4 linked regions of the Drosophila melanogaster genome follow. The protein of the gene in region 1 interacts with the protein of each later gene in a pairwise test. Each region holds a gene or a part of one and is shown in the gene's direction. Other genes may lie near its edges.

Region 1 (5,437 bases):
AGGACCTATGACTCTGGTGCCTATGTGTTCCGTCAGTACAATCAAGGAGACTTCGTCATCCAGGAAGATGGTGTCGAGTTCACTGTTTACGATGGAGCTTTAGTCAAGGAAGTTCACCAGCGTTTCAGCGAATACATTTCGCAGGTCATCCGTATCAGCGAGGACAAGCCTTACGTGGAATTCGAGTGGCTTGTAGGCCCTATTCCGGTTGAAGAGGAATTTGGCACGGAAGTAGTAACTATCTTCAGCAGTGAAATTGCCTCCAATGGCGTATTCTATACTGATTCCAATGGACGCGAGTTGATCAGACGCGAAAAGGACAAGCGAGAGGACTTCACCCCCGAGCTTGCTGTCCAGCCTACTTCCGGAAACTATTATCCCATCACATCGCGCATTGCTCTGCAGGACAGCAACAAGCGCCTTGCGATCCTAAACGATCGTGCTCAAGGAGGCACCAGCATGAAGGATGGCCAAATTGAACTTATGCTGCACCGTCGACTCGTCCGTGATGATGGCTATGGAGTGGGAGAGGCCTTGAATGAGGAGAAGTACGGCCAGCCCTTGATTGCCCGTGGTAAGGTGTTCCTAATCCTTAACGCCGCCGACGAGTCCACGTCCGCCGAGCGCGAAGCCGAAAAGGAGTTCCATCTGCCCCTTTGGAAGTTCTTCAGCAAGAACACTGGAAGCACCACCGCTGCTGCCAAGTCGGTTCCCAGCTTTGACGACTTCCCCAAGTCGGTGCATCTGCTCACCCTAGAACCCTTCAACGACGATGAGATTCTGCTGCGTGTGGAGAACTTCAAGGATCACATCGAAGGCAAAGTGGTTAGCTTTAACATTCGCCCGATCTTTGACTACCTGAACGGAGTCGAAATCCGCGAAACTACCTTGGATGGCAACCTGCCCTTGAGTGACATGAAGCAGTTCAAGTTCCACGCTGAGGGTTCAGGAATTAGGGGATCAGAACCTGAGTACTACACCTCGTCCCACAAGCCGCTGTCCGCTAACCAGACGCAAGATGCCGCCGAGTTCGCTGTCACATTGTATCCAATGCAGATTCGAACATTCATCATTAAACATGAATAATTGTATTTCAATGAAAATCAAAGAAATAAATAAAATTATGTCTGAATAAAAACACTGTTGTTTTGCTTTAACTTATTAGGAAATAAGTCCCTCATACATACAGGGAAGTAATACGAGTCATATGAAAATTTTTTAAAACTTTACAAAATTCAATTAACCGCACGGGTTTAACCCAATTAACTCTGAGGTTTTACTTTAGAAGTTAGTGGAGTATTACCATGTTTATATGGAATTAACAGTTACGGCCTCATATAATTCAAGTTACTTATGACTGTTGATTACTTTTATTTTATAAGCAGTGTGCAGAAACCTTTCCCACTCACTACAGAGAGTCTCAATCATATAATTTTTATTTAAAAAAATGTATATTAAATTCTTTTTCAATACGCTAAGTTATCAATAAGGGCGCAAGTGCATTTCAGGAGCTTCAATCCTTGAAGTGGTTGATAAATAATGGGTCCAATTCTTATCGCTACGTGGAGGGTGGGCATTCTAAAAAAAAGTATTCACCAAGTTTTTAATAACCCACTAATTGCTAATTAGGTTACCTTATCTTAGTGACCATCATGTATTTTCTTATCAATGCCTTCTTAGAAACGGTGCGCCCTATAAAGGAGCAGTCTTGGTTTAATGGGAATTCAGTACTTGGTAATGACAAGATGACTTATTTGGGTCGCATTTTATTCCTGTCCATCTTATTGGTGCTCTTCGCAAAACAATCCGAAGCAGTTTGTGGCTATGAGGTAATATAAATTTGTTGATGCTTTTCAAAATGATATCACTATATCCTTTGATATTATTTGCAGTCATGTCCCGAAACAAAAGCGAACATGGTTAACATCCATTTGGTTCCTCACTCCCACAACGATGTGGGCTGGTTGAAGACAGTTGATCAGTCTTATTATGGTTACAAGAACAAAATTCATCATGCCGGTGTCCAATATATATTGGATAGTGTGGTGTCCCAGCTCCTCCAGGATCCCAAGCGTCGTTTCATTCAGGTGGAGACGGCATTCTTTGCCAAGTGGTGGAACGTCCAGTCAGAGTCCATGAAAAAGGTGGTCACCAAACTGGTCAACGAGGGACGTTTCGAGTTTACTGGCGGAGCTTGGAGTATGAACGATGAGGCAAATGTCAATTACCAGGGTGTTATTGATCAATTCACTGTGGGATTAAAGTGGGTTAATTAGAAACACTAATATTCCTTAGTCTTTGATTACTCTAATCTTCGTAGGTTCCTCAACGAGACGTTTGGCTCCTGTGGTCGTCCTCGAGTTGGCTGGCAGATCGATACTTTTGGACACTCCCGCGAGCAGGCTGCAATTTTCGCGCACATGGGCTACGATGGACAGTTCTTTTCACGAATGGATCATAACGACAAGGACACACGTATGAATGACTTGACAATGGAGATGATTTGGGATGCCAGTGAATCGATGAGCGGCGTCAGTCTCTTCAGCGGCATGTTGTACAACTTTTACTCGGACACTCCAGGCTTTTGCTTCGACATACTTTGCACTGATCAGCCCATTATTGATGGTGACAGCGAAGAAAATAATGTGAAACAGAGGGTAGATGACTTTATAAGTTATGCAAAGAATGTGTCTGAGGTGTATATCACTAATCACATCATGGTTCCTATGGGCGGTGATTTCCAGTACGAGGACGCAAAAGTTAACTACAAAAATATGGACAAACTGATCAAGTAGGTGTGATTAAGAAACACAAATCGTTTATAACTTTCTTTTGCGTTAGGTACATCAATGAACGTCAAGCGTCTGGTTCAAAATACAATATCTTCTACTCCACTCCAAGCTGCTATCTGAACTCCTTGCACCAGAGCCTAGAGTCCTGGCCAAACAAGACTCAGGACTTTTTCCCATACGCTCACGAGAAGAATAGCTTTTGGACTGGATTCTTTACTTCCCGACCCACTCAGAAACGATTCGAGCGTGATGGAAATCACATGTTGCAGGTGGCCAAGCAGCTTTCTGTACTCGCGAATCTTACTAGCGAAGAGCATAAAATAGACCTGGATTATCTGCGCCAGGTCATGGGAGTGATGCAACATCATGATGCCATTACGGGCACGGAGAAGCAGGCTGTCTCGGATGACTATGATCGAATGATGTACGAGGCCATTGTTGGGGCATCTAACAATGCCCGCGATGCCCTGCGTCTTTTGACCAACATGCCTTATGGAGAGTTTGAGAGTTGCCTGAGGTTGAACATCAGCGAGTGTGCTTTCACCAAGGATGGTGCTGATAACGTTTTGGTGACCCTATACAATCCCCTGGCCCACAGCTCCACTCAGTATGTTCGCATTCCTGTTAAGGAGGAGAACTATCAAGTAACCGATGAGAAGGGCAGAACAGTTCCATCGGAGGTGGTTCCAGTGCCGTGGCAAGTTTTGGCATTGGAGTACAGATCCAATGATACCCAGCACGAGTTAGTTTTCAAGGCAACGGTAAATAAGGTATCCAGTTACTCTATCAAAAAAGTCGAGAGCTCAGAGGTCAAACATTCATCGATAAAGAAGATTAATCCCAGAGAAGATAACAATTCAGAGACTGTTGTAGAAAACTCGGTAAGTGCATTTGATTGTCTAATAACTTAAATGTTTTTTATCCCTACGATATATAACCCATAGGTTGTTAAACTAGTGATGGACAACCATACAGGACGATTGAAGTCGGTCGAAATGAACGGTGTGTCTGAGAAAATAGTCCAGAACTTTGGCGTTTACAAGAGTCACACATCCTGCGCCTACACATTCCGCCAGGATGGAGATATAGAATTGTTTGAAAATGATTTTGAGTTCACAGTCTATGAAGGAAGTTTGGTCAAGGAAGTCCATCAGCATGTGAACGACTGGATTTCGCAAGTGATCCGTATCTACGAGGGCGTAAGCAGAGTGGAGTTGGAGTGGATGGTGGGCCCTATTCCCATCGATGATAAACTAGGTAGTGAATTTGTGACAAACTTTAAGAGTGAGATTTCTTCGAACGGAGTTTTCTATACCGATTCAAATGGACGTGAATTGATGAAACGTGTGAAGGATAAACGCGAGGACTTCGTTTCCGACTTAAGCCGACAGCCTGTGAGCGGAAACTTCTATCCAGTCACATCGAGAATTGCTCTTCAAGACGATACCAAGCGTTTGGTCCTCCTGAATGACCGCTCCCAGGGTGGAGCCAGTTTGGAGGATGGTGCCCTAGAGATGCTGATCCATCGTCGTCATCTCTTCAACGACGGTGGTGGAGTGGGTGAAGCCCTGAATGAGACGCAATATGGCAAAGGTCTGATTGCCCGAGGAAAACTTTACCTCATTCTCGATTCCGCGACAGATGGAGATACTGTGACGGAACGTAAGACTGAGAAAGAGCTCTTCCTTCCCTTTTGGAAGTTCTTTAGCAAAACTGGTGGAGTCGAAATAACTCCATCCAAATCCCTTCCCGACTTTAATGATCTTCCGCAATCCGTTCACCTACTCACCCTGGAATTCTTCTCAGAGCAAGAAATTTTGATCCGCTTTGAACACTTCTTGGATAAATCTGAAGGAAGGGTGATTAGCTTCAACATTCGGGATATATTCGATAGTCTTGGCGGTTTGGCGATTAGGGAAACAACCTTGGATGGAAATATGCCACTGAGCGATATGAAGCGATTCAAGTTCCATGCACAAGAATCCGGAACCAAGCCGTCATCCGTGGAATATTCTACGGCACAGCACAAGCCACTTGAGGCTGTCAAATCGGATGAGGCCTCACTTTTTGCTGTAACACTATATCCTATGCAAATTCGCACTTTTATTATTAAAACAGAGTAAGAAAAGTATAAGAAATAAATGATCAAAATTAAAATTACATTATTCTTATCTTTTTGGGGTCATAATCATTATCGGCTACTTCTGCATGTGGAGCTTTCCCTTTCCTGAAGATTATAGCTCGCTTGAGTGTAATCCCAAAATGGAATGGTGCTCGCAATAGTATACACATTGTAATCTTTAAGTGGGCAATTACCAATTAAAATCCATTTAAGTTATTGAATGATAAGAATTGCAATTCATGCCAAATCGAAGTACATTTTGATTACGTTAGAAACACTGGAGCACTGCATGTGGCCCAAATAAAACGCATGGTACTTACCCTTTGAGACCTCTCACTAGCGGTTGGTTTTAAGTTAATTACCTCTCTCGACTAGTTAAAATTCAAAACATTCTGAAGTGTTGATTACTTATCAGATAACCCCCCATTGAGAAGTTTATAAAAGTGGCAACTTTTATTGTATAGCCAGTTCTTGTTGTGCAGTTGCTGGTTAGGGAACTCTGCAAGATGAGTTCTGTAAAGAA
Region 2 (7,562 bases), on another chromosome or scaffold:
CTCCATTCTGATAAAACATAATGAAAAACTAGATATTATGATTTCCGCGCCCGAAGACAAAGGCTCATAACAATTCACATACGAGCTCTGAAACTTCCCTAGATTAACAAATATATTTTTAAATTATCCAAATAGCAACCTGTCTAGAATGCGGTTTAGAACAGGCTCAAGCGACGGTCTTGTTTGATTCGAAAACCGCTAACGTCCTTCAGTGGAGTCCAAAATTTGAGGCAGCAAATTATCAGACACTCGGTATGGAAGTTGAATAATCGTCTGTTGCAATGTCGGATGAGGTGACAAAAAAAGGCTTTTCCTCTAGCCGGCAGTCAAGAAGCATTCGATGAGCCAAAAACTAAAAAAGAAAAAAATAATAAAAACAATTCAGTCGCTTCAGTTATCCGCAATGACAAATTTGAAATGTCAGCAGTCGCCGCCAAGTGTCATTGCCTTTGTGAAGATGTGCGAAGCAAGTTATGACCCGAATAAGTTAGCCAGCAATTATGTAATAAAAGACAAGAATTAATGTGGCTCTAAGTGGCGTCTGATGGCCGCAGGGGTGACTTCCGTTCGGCTGCACTTCCTCTGGGTGTTGTTCCGCCGTTTTATCTAGACCCTGACTACCCAGTGACCACGCACCTTTGGGCCGAAAGAGTTCAAAGTCACATCTATTTTGGGCCCGCTCATGACTGCGCGTGGCCAGTGGGTGTCACTCTGATTGGTTCATTAAAATCAAGACGTGACTGCTTGCGAATAAATAAATTCTAGTTATTAAACTGGCGAAATGCAGGCGATGACAAATGCCGAAACCCGTTTGGGAGTCGCTCGAAGAATGCAGCACTGAACACCGATCACCGATCACCGATCATCGAGATCTTCGAGTGTGCGTTTAAAGGTCACTCGGCTGACACGGAGTCAGAGATGAGCTGAGCCGAGCTGAGCCTACCTTAACATTCAACTCCGGCTGCCATCTGCTGACCCCCGGGCACACGCATTTTTGGCCAAGTCAACCGGTTCATGTTCAATTGGCCGACTCCAACTCCAACATCGACTCGCAACTCCAACTGCATTTAGGCCTGATCCGAGGGGTAAGTGCCATTAGCCAACGCCTGATCTTCTCGGCCTTATTTGCCTTGGCAAGCTTCGTTGGGAGCCTTGACTTGGCTCTCGATCGTCGAGCCAGCTTCGGCTTGTCTCATCGATTGATGAAATTCGGTGGCTCGGACCCATTTACCAAATTAAATGCTGCACGACAACGTGTTTAACACTCGCCGCAGACTTCTGCCAAAAGTACGAGCATATTTGCCAGCCATCGGAGTTGGCTAAATAGAAATGCCAACAAGAGCAGGCGTTGGTGGATGGATGGTCGGATGGCCGGATGGTGCGTCTGGCTTAGTTGCTCTTCTGCCATAATTGCTGGGCCTTAATTTGGCTGCCTTTTTGTCTTAGCCATGTTATCTGGCTGTTAACTCACAAACATCAAACAACCGAGACTGGTTGGCTTTCTGGTCAGCATTCAGCTGTCGGCGTCGCTGTCGACGAAGGCTGAGGCATCAGCAGCGGCAGAGACTTCGTATTCGGCTCATCTTCATCTGGCCAAAACGCTTTCGATTTCGGCTTTTGGCCGTGTGTTAACAGCTGTCGCCCAGGTGAAGATGCCTCTGCCGACGCCGCTGCCCAAGTGGGCAGATGCTGGGTCCGAGTATATATAGAAAATCTACAAGTTTTGATGCTTTAGTTGGTATTCCACACTCGACCTAGAAGTTAAACCAACTTAGCTTGGCATCGATCAAATTCAATCGTCCATTGAATTTGATACGATCGGTCGCGTCTTCTCCTTTCCGATCCTCACAGTACCGTCCGCAAGGATTATTCACGCACACCGCCTAGGATTACCTACGCACCCGGGATTACCGCAACTGCCGTTTGTAGCAGTCCGAAAGTGTACACCATGGTAACCGAACCCAGTTCCAATCCAATCTAAACCAAAACGAACAATGATCGTGTGCAAAGTGCAAAATAACGAAACAAGTGTCCCTCGGTGTGAAGACAAACAAGACAGACATTTCGCAAAGGAAAAGCAGTGCAGATGAAGATAAAAAGTATCAGTTTTGTTGGTCCAAAATATTTAGGGAGTTTCCACGTTTTATAGTTTGGGCTTGTGACAGTACAGAAAATAATTGAACGAATACGAATTTTCAATGATATTTGTATTCAAACTTTAATTTTAAATTAAAACATTTCTTGTGTTAAAATAATGTGTCAGCTATTTAGCGCTAGATCTTCAGAAATTTATTAATCCGAACTTGTATAAAAGGATACTAAAAAAGCATGTTCTACAATTTTATAGGGATACAATCATAAAAAAGGGTTATAAGATAAGATAGGGCCTTTAAGTTCATTCAAAATCATTCCGATTTTTCTCTGTGCATACCCAAGCATCGCAAACAAGAAGAAATAGCAAATAAATTGCCAACACCGACTGCAGTTCCAATTCAATCGCCATCTATTTGCATTTCACATTTTGTCGAGGGTCCAGCTCTGGACCCGGGCTATCATCGCGAGTTAAGAGTTGACCAGATGGCGGTTGACATTTAAGCCATGTAGAAATTGAGCAAGTGGCATCGAGTGCAATGTTACGCATACGCCGTGTTGGCCGCCCACAGAGCAAATCGCCTTGGCGCGATCCGCAATTTGCGTATTAAGTCATTAGGATGGACCAGCTGCATGTGCATTCTGCCATGTGGCGGCAGTTTCTATGTCAGCATTGACATGGCTGAAGATGAAATTAAAACTTGTTTTTTTTTCCATAATTTTCGCTTTTGCTTCTGACATTTGCTAGTCGCAATTTGCGATTGGCGTATTTAGGTAAATAGCCATAAAAACGTTGCCTTAAGTTAGATTCTTGACGTTGCCATTGAATAGACGTCCATTAATCACCATCATTGTTGCCAAAGAAGATTTCATTTGTTAAAGGGCCGACTGATCTTTTCCCCAGACTTTAATTCACCCAAATCTCTCACAGTTTCGGAAAAATAAAGTTGCCCCAAAAGTCTTGGCATTGGGGCTCTGCCCTCGAGGCGGTGTGAATCAGATTAATTAGCTGCCAATTAGCTCACTGAACAGTCGAGGGAATCGGTTTGCCCCTGCAAATATCTCTCCAAGTCCTTTCACTTTCTAACCTTTAAGCACCACCCGCCATAAGTCAAACCCGATTTGGTTCTCGATATCCTCAGCTCAATTGTGGCTGATATTTAAAACAAGTTAGAACAGCAAAAATTTTAGGTTCATTAGCATAAATTATTTAAAATCATTTACATACAAAGATCAAATATTTTTGAAATTAGCAAACAATCAGAAACCAACAAAAAAAATAAATGAAACTGGACCCAGTCGATTTTGGAGGTATGGCTTAAAATCTAACAGATTTGGTTATAAATGACAACCGGGGCTTACTATTCTTCGCATGCCAGATGCGTATGCTAATTTTGCGTTTTCTCACTAGTTTTATGGCCAGTCTTTGCTGATTATTATATAATCATGGCTAGAACTGGTCTGGAGTTTGGGGCCCGGATCCGGGCCGGTTTCTTTCATAATCGGCTATTTTTATAGCCCCCGAAAATTCTCCGTCAGCCAATTAATTGAGCTCATCGACACTGGCCATCTGCGGCCATCGACGAGCACTTTCATTAACTAACAATGACCTTGCCGAAACTCCAGCGACAAATGCAAATAAACCCGCTGACAGCATCGTCGGAAGCCATAATTCAGGGGCTACTTCCTCGGATCCCCATTGAGCTTCGGATCTGTTGTGTCGCTCCGCATTTGCATGGGCATTATGTATCAATCGCGTCAATCTGCGATATTTACATACATAGCTCCGGGGGAGGGGACTGACCTAGAGATGCTAATGCCCGTCAAAGTTGAATGTCTGCGTTAGCATTTCGGGTGATTTTCAATGCATTATGGTAAATCGATTCGCCAGCTTGGCTGTTTGTTGGCTGAACTTTACCACAGTTTTGAACTGCAGGCCAGCGGAGTTGCCTTGCCTCCTCCGACCCCGACCAAGTTGCCACGAAGCGTGAATAGGCGATTAGCCTAGAAGGCGATCAATTAGTCGCAATCAGGTTGTTAGAGCCAGTCGTTAGTCTGAGCACCTCTGTACGGCGACACCATCGAAGTCCATCAATATGTAGCATCACTAATCAGGCTGTGTTTTTCGTTCCTTCCCCACAGAGAAGTGCACTGTTCGTCTTGGCGCTTTGCGTTGTGGCTGTGGCCACCGCATCGGCCGATAACCATGAGGTAAGTGCGGAAATCTGACGATTCCCTGCCAACAGGAACTTACAAGCCACTTTTTACAGCGCAAGACTCGTGCCGCCGAGGGATACTTCTACCCCCCTCCCGATGTTCCATTCGATCTGCCCGTCCGCACCACACAGCCGCCAACAAGGCCGCCAACGCGCCCTCCTACTAGGCCACCCACCAGGCCACCCACCAGGCCTCCCACGCCACCACCAACCTACCTGCCGCCCACCAACAAGCCACTGCCACCAGTGACCACCCGTCTTCCTCCACCACCACCACCACCAAGGACTCCTCCCCCAACGAGGCCCCCAACTAGGCCACCAACCACTCGTCCTCCGGCAACCTACCTGCCACCCACCAACAAGCCACTGCCACCAGTGACCACCCGTCTGCCTCCTCCACCACCATCACCAAGGACTCCTCCACCAACGAGGCCGCCAACTAGGCCACCAACCACTCGTCCTCCAGCAACCTATCTGCCACCCACCAACAAGCCACTGCCACCAGTGACCACCCGCCTGCCTCCTCCACCACCACCACCAAGGACTCCTCCACCAACGAGGCCCCCAACTAAGCCACCAACCACTCGTCCTCCAGCAACCTACTTGCCACCCACCAACAAGCCACCGCCACCAGTGACCACTCGTCGTCCAACACCACCACCAACGAGGCCACCACCACCACCGACCCGTGCATCGACTCCAGCTCCTACCTACCTGCCTCCCACCAACAAACCACTGCCACCAGTCACCGTGCGCACCACTGTTCGCACCACTCCTCGTCCAACTCCTCCTCCTACCAAGCCACCAACTCGCCCACCAACCACTTATCTGCCACCCCCAACTGTGCGCACCACCCGCCCTCCTCCACCACCCACTCGGCCACCAACTAAGCCACCAACCACTTACTTGCCTCCCGTTACCGTGCGCACCACCCGTGCCACCCCCCCACCAACTCGCCCACCAACCCGGCCACCAACCTACCCACCGACCACTCGTCGTCTGACCACTCCGGCTCCTACTTACTTGCCACCCACCAACAAGCCTCTGCCACCGGTCACCGTTCGCACCACCGTTCGTACCACTCCTCGTCCAACTTTGCCTCCTACCAAGCCACCAACTCGCCCACCAACCACTTACCTGCCACCCCCAACTGTGCGCACCACCCGCCCTCCTCCACCACCCACTCGTCCACCAACTAAGCCACCAACCACTTACTTGCCTCCCGTTACCGTGCGCACCACCCGTGCCACCCCACCACCAACTCGTCCCCCAACTCGCCCCCCAACCCCTCCTCCAACTAGGCCACCACCACCACCAACCCGTGCATCGACTCCAGCTCCTACCTACCTGCCTCCCACCAACAAACCACTGCCACCAGTCACCGTGCGCACAACTGTTCGTACCACTCCTCGTCCAACTTTGCCTCCTACCAAGCCACCAACTCGCCCACCAACCACTTACTTGCCACCCCCAAGTGTGCGCACCACCCGCCCTCCTCCACCACCCACTCGTCCACCAACTAAGCCACCAACCACTTACTTGCCTCCCGTTACCGTGCGCACCACCCGTGCCACCCCACCACCAACTCGCCCACCAACCCGGCCACCAACCTACCCACCCACCACTCGTCGTTTAACAACCCCGGCTCCTACTTACCTGCCACCCACCAACAAGCCTCTGCCACCGGTCACCGTTCGCACCACCGTTCGTACCACTCCTCGGCCAACTCTGCCTCCTACCAAGCCACCAACTCGCCCACCAACCACTTACCTGCCACCCCCAACTGTGCGCACCACCCGCCCTCCTCCACCACCCACTCGGCCACCAACTAAGCCACCAACCACTTACTTGCCTCCCGTTACCGTGCGCACCACCCGTGCCACCCCACCACCAACTCGCCCACCAACCCGGCCACCAACCTACCCACCCACCACTCGTCGTTTGACAACCCCGGCTCCTACTTACCTGCCACCCACCAACAAGCCTCTGCCACCGGTCACCGTTCGCACCACCGTTCGTACCACTCCTCGGCCAACTCTTCCACCCACGAGGCCCCCAACTAAGCCACCAACCACCTACCTGCCTCCCCCAACTGTGCGCACCACCCGCCCTCCTCCACCACCCACTCGGCCACCAACTAAGCCACCAACCACCTACCTGCCCCCCGTCACTGTTGTGCGCACCACCCGACCTCCTCCACCACCCACTCGTAGGACCACCGTGTACGTGCCACCACCAACAGTGCGCACCACCGTGTACGTGCCACCCCCTACGCAGCGCACCACAGTCTACGTCCCACCCGCACCCACCAAGCACCAGGGCTACCAGTACCCCGTGCCCAGCATCCCCTTCAACTTCTAGATCTAGAGATCCAGATGTGATTAGGGATAGGGCCATCGTCTAGGGCTAGATTGATCTAGTCAATTCTCGTACAGTCTAACTTTACACGATCCGGCGCCAGCGGTGCTAGAGGGCGCCACTGGTGCGCCTGCAAGGACGACATTTGTTTGTTTTTATTTTATTTTTGTAATTAATGAATCGCATACTCATACAGCTAGGGATCATTGTAAATGAGTGCCCCAATTGTACAGCTAACAGTCTATCCAACTCTTGCTATGTTCTATCACTATTCTACAATCGATGGGCGGCCGTCGTCTGTGACGGACGCCAGCTCAAGACTATATAGCTCTATATTACGATTAAATAAACTTTTAATTCGGATCGCTGAAACCTGAACAATAAAATAAGTTTTTCGAATATTTACAAGCATTTTTTTCATCTGTTTTTGGGAAGCGGAAATTACATGCGGTCCTGTTATGTTATGTGCGATGTTTGAAACCCAAACAATAATAACATATTTTCTTTTTCACTCCTAACCGGGAAATGGGATCAAGCCATGTCCGGGAGATTTTGTGGTCTGGTTGGTCTCGTGGGTTCCTCCTCTTTTGGGAGTTATCTTAAAAGTCGGTTTTAACGACTATGCAAAGGAGATCGTTGCTTGCAAGTCATAAAGCGCCCAAAGTGCAGGTTAGGCAGTTAACCTTGACCTCCACTTCTGGTCTCTACTAATTTAAGTTATGGATGTGAAACACGTTAGCTTAGTTAATAGGTTTGAAAAGTTCGTATGAGTAGGTATTTAAATACATGTATGTTTACTATGAGCGATGTATATTTTCATGAAATATGAAATAATTTAACCTTAGGTTATAATTAAATGTCAAATTTGAGATATAGTTAAAATGTGATTTGAACTTA
Region 3 (4,572 bases), about 13 Mb from region 1:
GAATTCGATTTAGCCAAAATCTTTTGATTTCTTTTTTAGGTGCTCTGCTTTTGGAAAATTTGTTCTATAGTTTGGATATCGCAATATGCATTCAGCGGTAAACAGCTGTTTAAGCTGTTCCAGACAACATAGCTGCCACATATTTCATAGTTTTAATTACGATGTCCGCAATTTCTTTTTTGTGGCACTTTGACCACTTAAGTAATTAAATCAAATAGAATTATTTACAAACAACACTATTGGCTCTCCTTTAAATAAATTAATGAATTCCTTCTATATATTTTATATGCCTGTTTCGTTTCACCAACAATGTTTGACCCCTTGACAAATCCAAACTTTTGTTGCCGACATCAAAATTTTGTTAGTCAAATCTGAAGTGGCGTCAGCAATAAAAATTTTATTAAATAAATTAGTGGCAGAATGATCTTGTTATGATGTGCAATAAGCATCAATAGACCACTGAGTAAACTATTTCTTCTCTTGAGTAAATAAGTTCTGTTTTAATATGAAAAAAGGCATTTACTTTTCATTTCGTGTGTCCGCTTTACATATCGAAAAAATCGTAAAAAAAAAACCGAATAATAATTAATAATTAATTTTATAAAAGCCACTCATATAAATATTTAACAGCATATATGTACATGCCACACTGTTCATTTCTTAGCGTAATGAAATAGTTTAATAAGAAATATATGAATCTATATAGGCGAGATCCGCATAATTCATCGTCATAGGATAAATTGTTTTTTTTTTTTCTGGAATCTAATTTCAAAGATTGTAGTAGTTTCAGCGCGAAACATCGATGTTTTTCACAAAAATCGTGGATGTAACATCGAAGTTTTCCGATGTTCTCTAAAATAAAATTAATATTATCATTTACACTTGAAATATAAGAAAAAAGATTTAAATATTATTAAATTCATTTAATTTAATATGTAGAATAAATTAAATATAAAACGTATAATAAAATTACAATATAAAATCAATTAGATTTAAACTGGTATAACTGGTTATATTAGAAAATTAAAAATCAGTGAGAGCTGTTCAAACAGTTGCATTTTAAGGATATCTTTTTATATATGTACATTTTGTATTTGATTTTGTATTTCTTCGGCATACCTTTAGCGTTCTAGGTCTTCTTCTTGTTATTCGAATAGCGATGATCCTAATAGCATCCATAGTCTACAATAAATATCGATGTTTCGGAAAATTTAAAACGTCTATTATATTGACTGTAGCGTTAGCCCCTTAAAATGGTTAAACTGGGATGTCAAATATTCTTCCACCATCAAGGACAGAACGCTTTTTAATACAAAATTAAGCAAAAATAGCAATTTCTCTGTCAATCTGTCCCGATTAGAAATAACTATGCGTCTAGGTGATGAAAATTTAAAAAAAAAGCTATTTATTATCTTTGGCTTGGAAAAAAGAATTTGAGGGTTAGTATATTAGTTAAATAAAACGAGTTTTTTAATTTAGACTAACATTAAATTTTGCTCAATGAGCACGTTAAAAAGCAAAAGTAAAGAACGTGTATTTATGGAGGGTGTGCGGTATAATTTTTCGAAATTCTATGGCCACACTGATTATTGGAACTCAAAACAACGTGCATATTTCCAAGTAAAATTCTTACGATTTGTGCTTTAAAAATAAAAATGAAATTCTCTTTCAAAAATAATTTATTATCTAGAACTTATTTGTATGCATTTTACGTCAGTGTGGATTATCCTTTCGAACATTAAGTTCAAACAGAAATAAAGCTATTATTAATTTAATATGTCCTTCTACACGAGTAAGACGGATGTGACTTCCATTTTAAAGACGTTTTCTGGCGTAAAACGAAATCAGGCAAATGCCGTGGCCATCAACAAAGTTCGATTTTCCACACCCAAAGAGAAGGGGCTCGCAGAATCAGTGCGCGTTGCCCTAGAAGAACGAAATTTCCATCTGGTCAAGGAGTTCACATACTTCCTCCGGGAAGCAGAACTCAGCGTAAGTTAAATTAACATAATTGTTGGTTATTCTTTACGTTTGATTTCTTTTTTTAAGGATGATGAGGTTGTAATAATCATAAAAGATGCTAAACGAATTGTTCATAATTTGACTCCAGAATTTGTAACCGTTGTCGAGGCGTTACTGTCCCTTAACTGGAAGAAAAGAAGTTCAGAGATAATCGAAGCTTATACTGAATTTTGTATCGAACTAATGGTGACCCATAATAGATATTTACCGATTGGAGTCTCTAAACTAATTGTCCACTGGATTCCTGGAGATATGGATGAATCCGATTGGGTCCACGGATGCCCTTCGGAGCACGTGCGAAATGAGTTGAAACCCATCCATAAAGTACTGGATCGCATCTTAACTGCCGTGCCAATGGCTTTCGATATTATCATAGATGCCATATCCGCCAAATTCCCCTATTTCAAAAAGCCGTACCATGTGACGGCAGGGTATCTGTATAACGTGCTTTGGTTATTAGAATACAAGCCTATTTTCGAAGAACTTGTTTTTCAACTAGTTTTACAAAAGTAAGTACTTTACTAATTTATTAATTTATATAAAGCTTGCTGATTTATACCTTACACTCAGTCCTTGTTGTTTTTAAGTCAAAATGATTTAAACTCTTCAGCTCAAAGAAGATGGGTTCGGAAAAATCGAATTTTTGAAATTTAAAAGCTGGAATCGTTTGCCCATTTTTTGCCCATGTTTGCCCACCAATAAGTTTTTTTTTTTGCCCACGTCCAGGTTTTAAGATATAAATTTTCGAAAGAGTTTAAAAATTTTCAAAAATCAAAAATTTTACTTTTTTCAAACATTTTTTTTAAATCGCAATAACATCGTTTGTCCACGTTTGCCCATTCTTTGGAATTTTGAAAAAATGTATACTTTAGAAAATATAAGTTTACCTCGGTCTAAACGTTTTTCGCCACGATTTTTTCGCCGTGGCTCTATAGATGGCTCCAGGCTCTCTCGAATTTTTGTTAGAGAGCGAGAGAGCTGAGAGCGCTACAGCGAATCACACATAAAGTGATAGCAGACAACTGTATGTGTGCACACGTATGCTCATGCATTGTAAATTTGACAAAATATGCCCTTCACCTTCAAAGTTCTTTGACTTTAAATCTATATTATTTTTGATCAATTAGTACCATGCGAAAAATTCTTGTTTTGCATTGCCTTAACGTTATTATTATTTGATAGAATAGAATAGAAATAGCCAAATCTATGTACATATTATCACAAAAATAAATTTCAAGAATATTTGTCATTAGAGTATTCATCTTGAGGCGTGTGAAAAATTAATAAGGCAATGATTGTTGAGTGCTTGTGTCCGCACTTCGTGCCTCAAGATATGAACAAAGCAAAGACACTAGAATAATTCTAGTTATCATATTTTTATGAAATTTATGAAATTACAGTAGTTATAATAATTTCTATTGTACTTCCTATTAATAAGTATATTTATTAAGTCATTTGACTTAAAAGGATGTAACATTAACATTAAAAGTGTTTAAAAAAAAATATTTCGCTTTTAAAAAATTGTCAGATGAGAGACAAATTAGAATTAAACATAACAAATTTTAACAAACAAATTTAAAAAACTTTAAAATTATAATAGTCAGGGCGCGAATTTTTAAAATTTTTTTTATTTTATCATATTGCTAGGAAATTAGCAAAAACTACCCTAATATGTACAATGTAAATTCGTTTCTTCGATCAGAATTGATTTCGGAACGAAAATAGTCTTCTAGCACAACACGCACACATACGCGTTCTCGTCTCTTGTTTTTACTCACACAAGTAACCAAATTATATTTTTAGATTTCTTACGCTCTCAGCGGGAGTGAGCGAAAAGAGAGTAATTTTGGCCGTCACCAAAAAAGTGGCTGCATAGTGCCAAACCAATGTATGGCCGTTACGCATCTTGTTATTCTAGTGTCTTTGGTCAAACGCTTTATTCTCTGAGTAGACCGAGGTAAACTTGAATGTCTTATATTTTCTAAAGTATACATTTTTTCAAAATTCGATAGGGTGGGCAAACGATGTTATTGCGATAAAAAATTTTTTTTAATAAAAGCGAAATTTTTGATTTTCGAACTTTTTTAAAAATTTATATCTAAAAAAATGGACGTGGGCAAAAAAAAAAACTAATTGGTGGGCAATCATGGGCAAACGATTGAAGCCTTTAAATATCTAAAATTCAATTTTTCCGAATCCAAAATTTTGCACGGATTGTAATTTCCTGGAATTTTTCCTAGACCTCAATTACGAAATAAATATGATGTAATCGAATTTCTTTCTGTTATATCTCTGTGAGCTTCCGAAACACTAACGAATTGAATTACTTCACATGAAGTGATTTTTGTATCTGATTCGTGAATGTTTTATATTCATTATTAACTTTTCAAGAAGCATTGATAATCTGCGGTTGATGCCCGACATATACGAAGACTAATAATAAATAAGAATAAAGCGGAGAAAGTGAAAAATGTAGAAATTTAAAAGAAATACGTTTTTCGTCACAAATGTTGTTAGATAAATTTTTGTTTGTGCGCTTTGTTGGATCAG
Region 4 (5,535 bases), on another chromosome or scaffold:
CCGCCGAGTCCAAGACCAATGGCCACGTGAGCTCTTCGTCCAGCTCTTCCTCCTCGGAAAGCTCGCTATCGTCCCGCTCCTCGCCGCGATCATTGAGTACTTCAGTCACAGCTGCATCTACTCTGCAGAGCAAGTTCAACGGCCACATGAGCGCCGCTCCAGCTCTTTTCAATGGAAATGGAAATACGTCACAGCTCTCGTCCAGCTTGCAACTATCCCGGCATGTGCTGCACAACCATCAATGGCACGGATCTAGGAGCAGCGTGTCAGCTGTAGAGAATGCTACGCAACATCAACAGCAGCAGGCGGCGGCCAGTCTGAGCCTTCGTCATTCGTTTTCCACAAGTTCAAATTACACGGAGACACTATCATCCTTGCTACGCAAATCAGCAAATACATGCAGCAAGGACACGCTGCTGTTTATCGACCAACAGAGTCACCATCATACAGCCGGACTGATCGAAGATGACGATGATTCATACATGGGCAGGTCCCTTTGGGTATGTCGAGATAGTTGTAGAATACCTGGAGGCATTCTTACTAAATTTATACGTCCTGTTACAGATATCGCCCGTAACGCCACACAAACTCATCACTGTTTCGCCCAAGAATTAGATGCGATATTATAATCCATATGGATGTATACTTTGGTAAAGAAACCCGAAAATGAAAGCGAAGCCGAAACAAGAATATACAAAACGCACTATAGCCATAAGCCTAAGGTTTACTTTATATGATATTTCTTAACCGGAGCTCCCGAGCGATAAGCTCGGGATGAAGATGTTATACAACTTTGTTTAATTTAAGATACGTACTCATATATACGATACTTGCAATACTGCATAACGTTTGAAAGTTTGATAAAACTTAAATATATTGTATAAGCATTAGACTATTTATTCAAAGCCAATGACGAGGATTAGTTTTCTTTATATTTCACCGAATTGACGAAGATTTTTATAACCTAACGACTACCGATATTTATTTAGCCAAACAATGAAGTACAATTTTATTTGATTGAGTTTTTCGTTCAAACTATAAATCTTCTTGTATAATTCCCTAACGATTTTTATGATGAAGTGCTTGGCATGCCTAAGTTAAGCTTTTTTTACATGAAACCAAGTTTCGGACTAAAATCTATGAGCATAGTTATAAATGTAAGGACACGTATTCTCTTTAATTACGATTACTTTGAATTGTACATTAATCTATCTGATTGTAACTTTTCCACAACCAAAAAATTCTGGCACAACTGCATATGATTCTTTCGATTCGTTGTCGGGCTACGTTTTGTGAATCGTTTATAATGCGGATCTATATACAAACATATATATTTCTTTAAAAATAATGTATTCTATATGTAGACGAAAGCATTACACCAAAACATTATATTGATAAAAAATGTTTGAGGACTCTACCACATTGTTTTCTGGAGAGAAAGAACTTTATTACGGTGTAAAATGTTCATTGTATTCATAAATAAACGTGAAGTTGTTGAATATGAAGTATGATTTGGAAGTGAACTAATAAAAATTAAAAAAAAAACACTTGGCTGGGGTTAGGAAGGTCTCTTTATTGTTGCATAAGCATCAGTTCTCAAATATTGTTGAATCCTGACATGTTCCGAATTCTTGTAATCCTGGATCGCAATATTGGCCATTTTCTTATTCATAACTGACGTATTAGCCAGATTTTCGTCATTGATGGAACGGATAGAACTCGACAACATTTTTACATTGTATTGAGCCGGAAAGTATGCTTCTGTTTTGGTTTTCATACTTGGCTCTCTCAAAATATGCATAATTCAAAGTAAAGCTTTCTTTCTTTCCACTTTCTCATGCTCTGGCTAGTTTACCGGGCTTACAAGCAGCCAGAGGTTCAACGTCTGCAGCGACTTGGTCGACAACTCAGTTCAGTTGGTGCACTTGACGCGTCTGGTTCTGCTTCCCACCACTGCGGATTAAGCCAAGCCTGACGAAGGCCAAGTCCAAGAACCTTCTACAAGAAGCAAACGAGCGGAGATGGATTATCGTCTAGTGCTGGTATGTCATCATTACGGGTGTGCTAACTGCACACTTTTTCTATGGCTCGCTGGTCAAGTTCGTTGCCCAAGTCTTTTGTTTTGCAATGCGTTAACATTGGCGAGCTAACCGCTTACGTTTACTGTTACTCAGTCCCTGGGAACCGCCCGATTCTGGAGCATGCTAATGAATTAAGCTAACCAAAGAGCAGCGTACGTTCCGATCCGTTCTGCCCCTTCTTCTAGTTCGGTCTTCTAACTACTGGCTTTTGGCCGGGTGCCGAGCAACTTTCCCGTTAGGCGTGTGGCACGCATATTGGGAACAGAGCGCCAACAAGTTCTTTCCTGACCAGATCAAATCAGCCTGTCTTGGCCCCGAAAGGCGGTTAGGTCTTCATTCTGCAATTGAGCTACCAATATTTACCTATGCAAATTGTGCTCTTTCCATTTGGGAGCTCTCTCGCAGGGCAAACAAGTTTCTGCCTCATTAGAAGGGAAAAAACAAAAGAACGAGCTTAGCGGCTGACCCGATTTTGGATTCCCCGACGCCGCATTCAAATTACGCTGTGAACCGTGTCACAAAGAGAGAAATTCCACAGCTTCTTGGCACTGCAGCCGCCCACCGATCTGTACCACTTGACCTGGATTACTCGGGTCTGTCCGTGGAACTTTTGGTTTCATTGAGATGCCACTGCCCAGAACTTCAGGGAAAGTTCCCTCGAACAATTAATGGTCAAGTGAGCACAGCGGAGAGATGCTGAAGTGGCGTCTCGATCGCAGTTGCTGCCTCGGTTTGTTTATCTTCACAAAAACAGAAACAGAAACTTTCGCGCTTTCGCCAAACAACAAAACATCGAAAAGTGTATGTATGGCCGGGTAAAAGATCTCGATTCTTTTTCCGGACAATATTGGGCCATTCACCGACTCTTCTGGGCAATTAACTCGACTCCAGACGGCTACGGCCACTGATTGTACCTCCACTGTGACTATCTTTTGTTTTGTAGAAAATTCTCAGCTTTCTGCTGCTGGCCCAATTGGGTTTCTCCCAGCCGCAGCAGCAGTCGCCATCTGACTACGGTGAGGAGCAGCCTCCGGAGGGTTATTACGCCTTCGTCGAGTCCCCGAATGCGGTGCCTCCCAAGGTCAGGCCGCCACCTTACACCTTTGTAAATGCGGAGTGCAAGGACGTGGCCGCCGGCAAGAAGTCTGCCGTGTCCGTTCACAACATTTGCGGAGATCTAAACAAGGGTCAGATACCCAAGAATCCGCTGGGACAAAATGTACTCGGGGAGCCCTATCCCTTGTAGGTGAAAATATTTGCGTAACAAATTTCAGACATCTCTAATGTACACCTCCTCCACAGCGAACTTATTCGCAACCAAACGCTGAAGTTCCTTTCGAAAACTTTGCCCGTTCTAAAGGCCGACGATACCCTACCCAAGGTCACCCAGATCATTCGAGATGAACCCGTGGAACAGCTGGACAGCAACAACATCGACAGGCCCTATCCCGCAGGAGGTTCCACTCGCGTCCGCCGCAGCCTGCCGGAGGGCGTGGAGTCCAACGAGTACAGCTACTTCGATCCCGCCCTGGACGAGGAGGAGCAACACAAGCAAAGGGATCGGAATAACCAGCAGAGAAGGGCCGCCGAGGAGAGGAAGCCAAGGAAATTCTGCGATGGCGGTGGAGTGTAAGTTTTTAGCATGGAAACGGGGGAGTAGAGTTATTCCAATCTTAACTGCTACATAAATGAAAGATAAATATATCGTATTTCTTAAAGCACGGGAAAGGCGCGCATATAAAGCTAAAGAGGTCACCACTTAAAAATTATGAGTCATCTTTATAAAATTATAGATTCGAAGAATTATCAAGGCAAAGAACCCAAATGAGCTTGTCATTTCACTTTCCACATCATAATGTAAAGCCATACAACTAAAGAAGCTCAACACTTTAATCGACATCCATAGATATTGTAGAATAGGTTAAGAGAGGAGTACATCATGGGGTATTCAACTGCTTAGCATTTTGACGACACAACTGCGTGCAGGTCAATTAATAAAAGATTTTTAAACTTTTAACTCCACCCACAGATTTTGCACCTTATACAGGGCAATTCAGGGAGACACCGGAGGAGCAGCCCCTGCCACGCCCACTGCGGAAAGGCGCGAGGAGGTGGGTCCCATCCGGTACGAGGGTCCTCCCACTCCCTGTCCCGCCAAGGTAGAGTACGCTACTCCCGTCTTCGCTAAGAACTACCAAGGCGCCTGGCGTTATGTGGTCCAGATTCCCTATGAGGGCTACTTCACCCAGACGGTGGAGGTGACGCGTTGCATTCAGGCACGCTGTCACTACCTGGACGGCGGTTGCTTGTCGTCACCACGCTGGGTAAGCCTGTTGGTGGCGGAGATCTTCTACCCCAATGCGGAGGACACAGTGCCCACCAGCTCGACCACCACTCAGGCCCCTTCTGTGCAGGATTTCCAGGCCTACCAGCAGTACCTGCAGAAGAGGGCAGGCGTGGCTACCGCCTCCGACGGAACCTCGTCTGGAGCAGCCGGCCCCGCGGCGCAGGTGGACGCCCACTGCGATGGACACGATGAACTGGGCTGCTTCCAGGTGCGTCTCTACTACGACTGGTTCCTCATCCCCGGCTCTTGCAAGTGCTGGCGCCCGGACTACTTCGCCAAGTACGTGCGCCGGAAGTCGGTGGCCGAGTTGTGAACACTTCCTGGACAGGATTTTCGAAGGAAATCCTTAGAATAAGACTAAGTTCTAGCCTTTAGAGGAACACAACTTTGAGGTGAAAGGCTCATTCTAGTAATCCACCCGGGTGCCCCACAGCCCTATACGGATCACGCAGAGTTTGCAGTTCGTGCATCTACCAGATACAATCTTAACCTAGGCGGTTAGCTCCCTCTTTCGACTGATTAAGCCAAGAGCAGTGCATTTCTACTAATAAATACGTTTCTACCTAATCATAAGAGAGCCTCTCTATTCGGCACTTTGCTGAGACTGCGATGTGGTATTGGCCTAGCCTGTGTGTGTTAGCCTCCTGGAACTCTCTCAGCTGCGCTTGTGTTGGAAGATCCACCGAAAACCCACAGAAACCAGTCGCGCAAGTTGCGCATGCGTGCGAGACTCGGGCCCAAAACCTCGGCCGCTGATCTAGTGTGCAGTCAATATAACCAGTTGGTTGGCTTTGGGTGTTTTGGCCGGGGATCCAAGCGACCGAGCTGCATTACATACACAGAATAGTTGCAGAGTTTGCGCAGAAGCCTTGACGAACGGCCTCAAAAGGCTGCCAGACGAGCCGCGGACTCGGATTTCAGGAGCCAATTTTCCGCATAGCTTGGGTAAGTCAGCCAAATGGAGGGCCGTCTCTTTGTTTATAAACAAAATAAGCAACCAAAGTGGACTAAGGTACAGATGCAGCTGCGATAATAACATTGAGTAAACTTGGTACTTGAAGGCAAGAAACTAACAAAATCATTCATTTGCACGTCTCAGTTGAGCCC

What was found.
Region 2: the proteins of LManIV (region 1) and CG13731 interact in a two-hybrid assay, tested with the Drosophila melanogaster proteins (one large-scale study listed by BioGRID).
Region 3: the proteins of LManIV (region 1) and Tif-IA interact in a two-hybrid assay, tested with the Drosophila melanogaster proteins (one large-scale study listed by BioGRID).
Region 4: the proteins of LManIV (region 1) and spz6 interact in a two-hybrid assay, tested with the Drosophila melanogaster proteins (one large-scale study listed by BioGRID).

Annotation. Positions count from the first base shown.
Region 1 is NT_033779.5:8,768,653-8,774,089, reverse strand, and holds LManIV (lysosomal alpha-mannosidase IV), read left to right. Parts: upstream 1-1,745; coding exon 1,746-1,829; intron 1,830-1,892; coding exon 1,893-2,263; intron 2,264-2,320; coding exon 2,321-2,791; intron 2,792-2,841; coding exon 2,842-3,673; intron 3,674-3,736; coding exon 3,737-4,915; 3' UTR 4,916-4,931; downstream 4,932-5,437. Other genes in the region: LManV (lysosomal alpha-mannosidase V), read left to right, coding at 1-1,086; LManIII (lysosomal alpha-mannosidase III), read left to right, coding at 5,421-5,437.
Region 2 is NT_037436.4:17,383,134-17,390,695, reverse strand, and holds CG13731 (uncharacterized protein), read left to right. Parts: upstream 1-1,739; 5' UTR 1,740-1,948; coding exon 1,949-1,951; intron 1,952-4,233; coding exon 4,234-4,302; intron 4,303-4,361; coding exon 4,362-6,668; 3' UTR 6,669-7,060; downstream 7,061-7,562.
Region 3 is NT_033779.5:22,248,323-22,252,894, forward strand, and holds the start of Tif-IA (Tif-IA), read left to right. Parts: upstream 1-1,553; 5' UTR 1,554-1,776; coding exon 1,777-1,992; intron 1,993-2,049; coding exon 2,050-2,531; intron 2,532-4,572.
Region 4 is NT_033778.4:24,755,474-24,761,008, forward strand, and holds spz6 (spatzle 6), read left to right. Parts: upstream 1-1,904; 5' UTR 1,905-2,021; coding exon 2,022-2,042; intron 2,043-3,024; coding exon 3,025-3,323; intron 3,324-3,383; coding exon 3,384-3,710; intron 3,711-4,110; coding exon 4,111-4,741; 3' UTR 4,742-4,993; downstream 4,994-5,535. Other genes in the region: Usp15-31 (ubiquitin specific protease 15/31), read left to right, coding at 1-500, 565-615.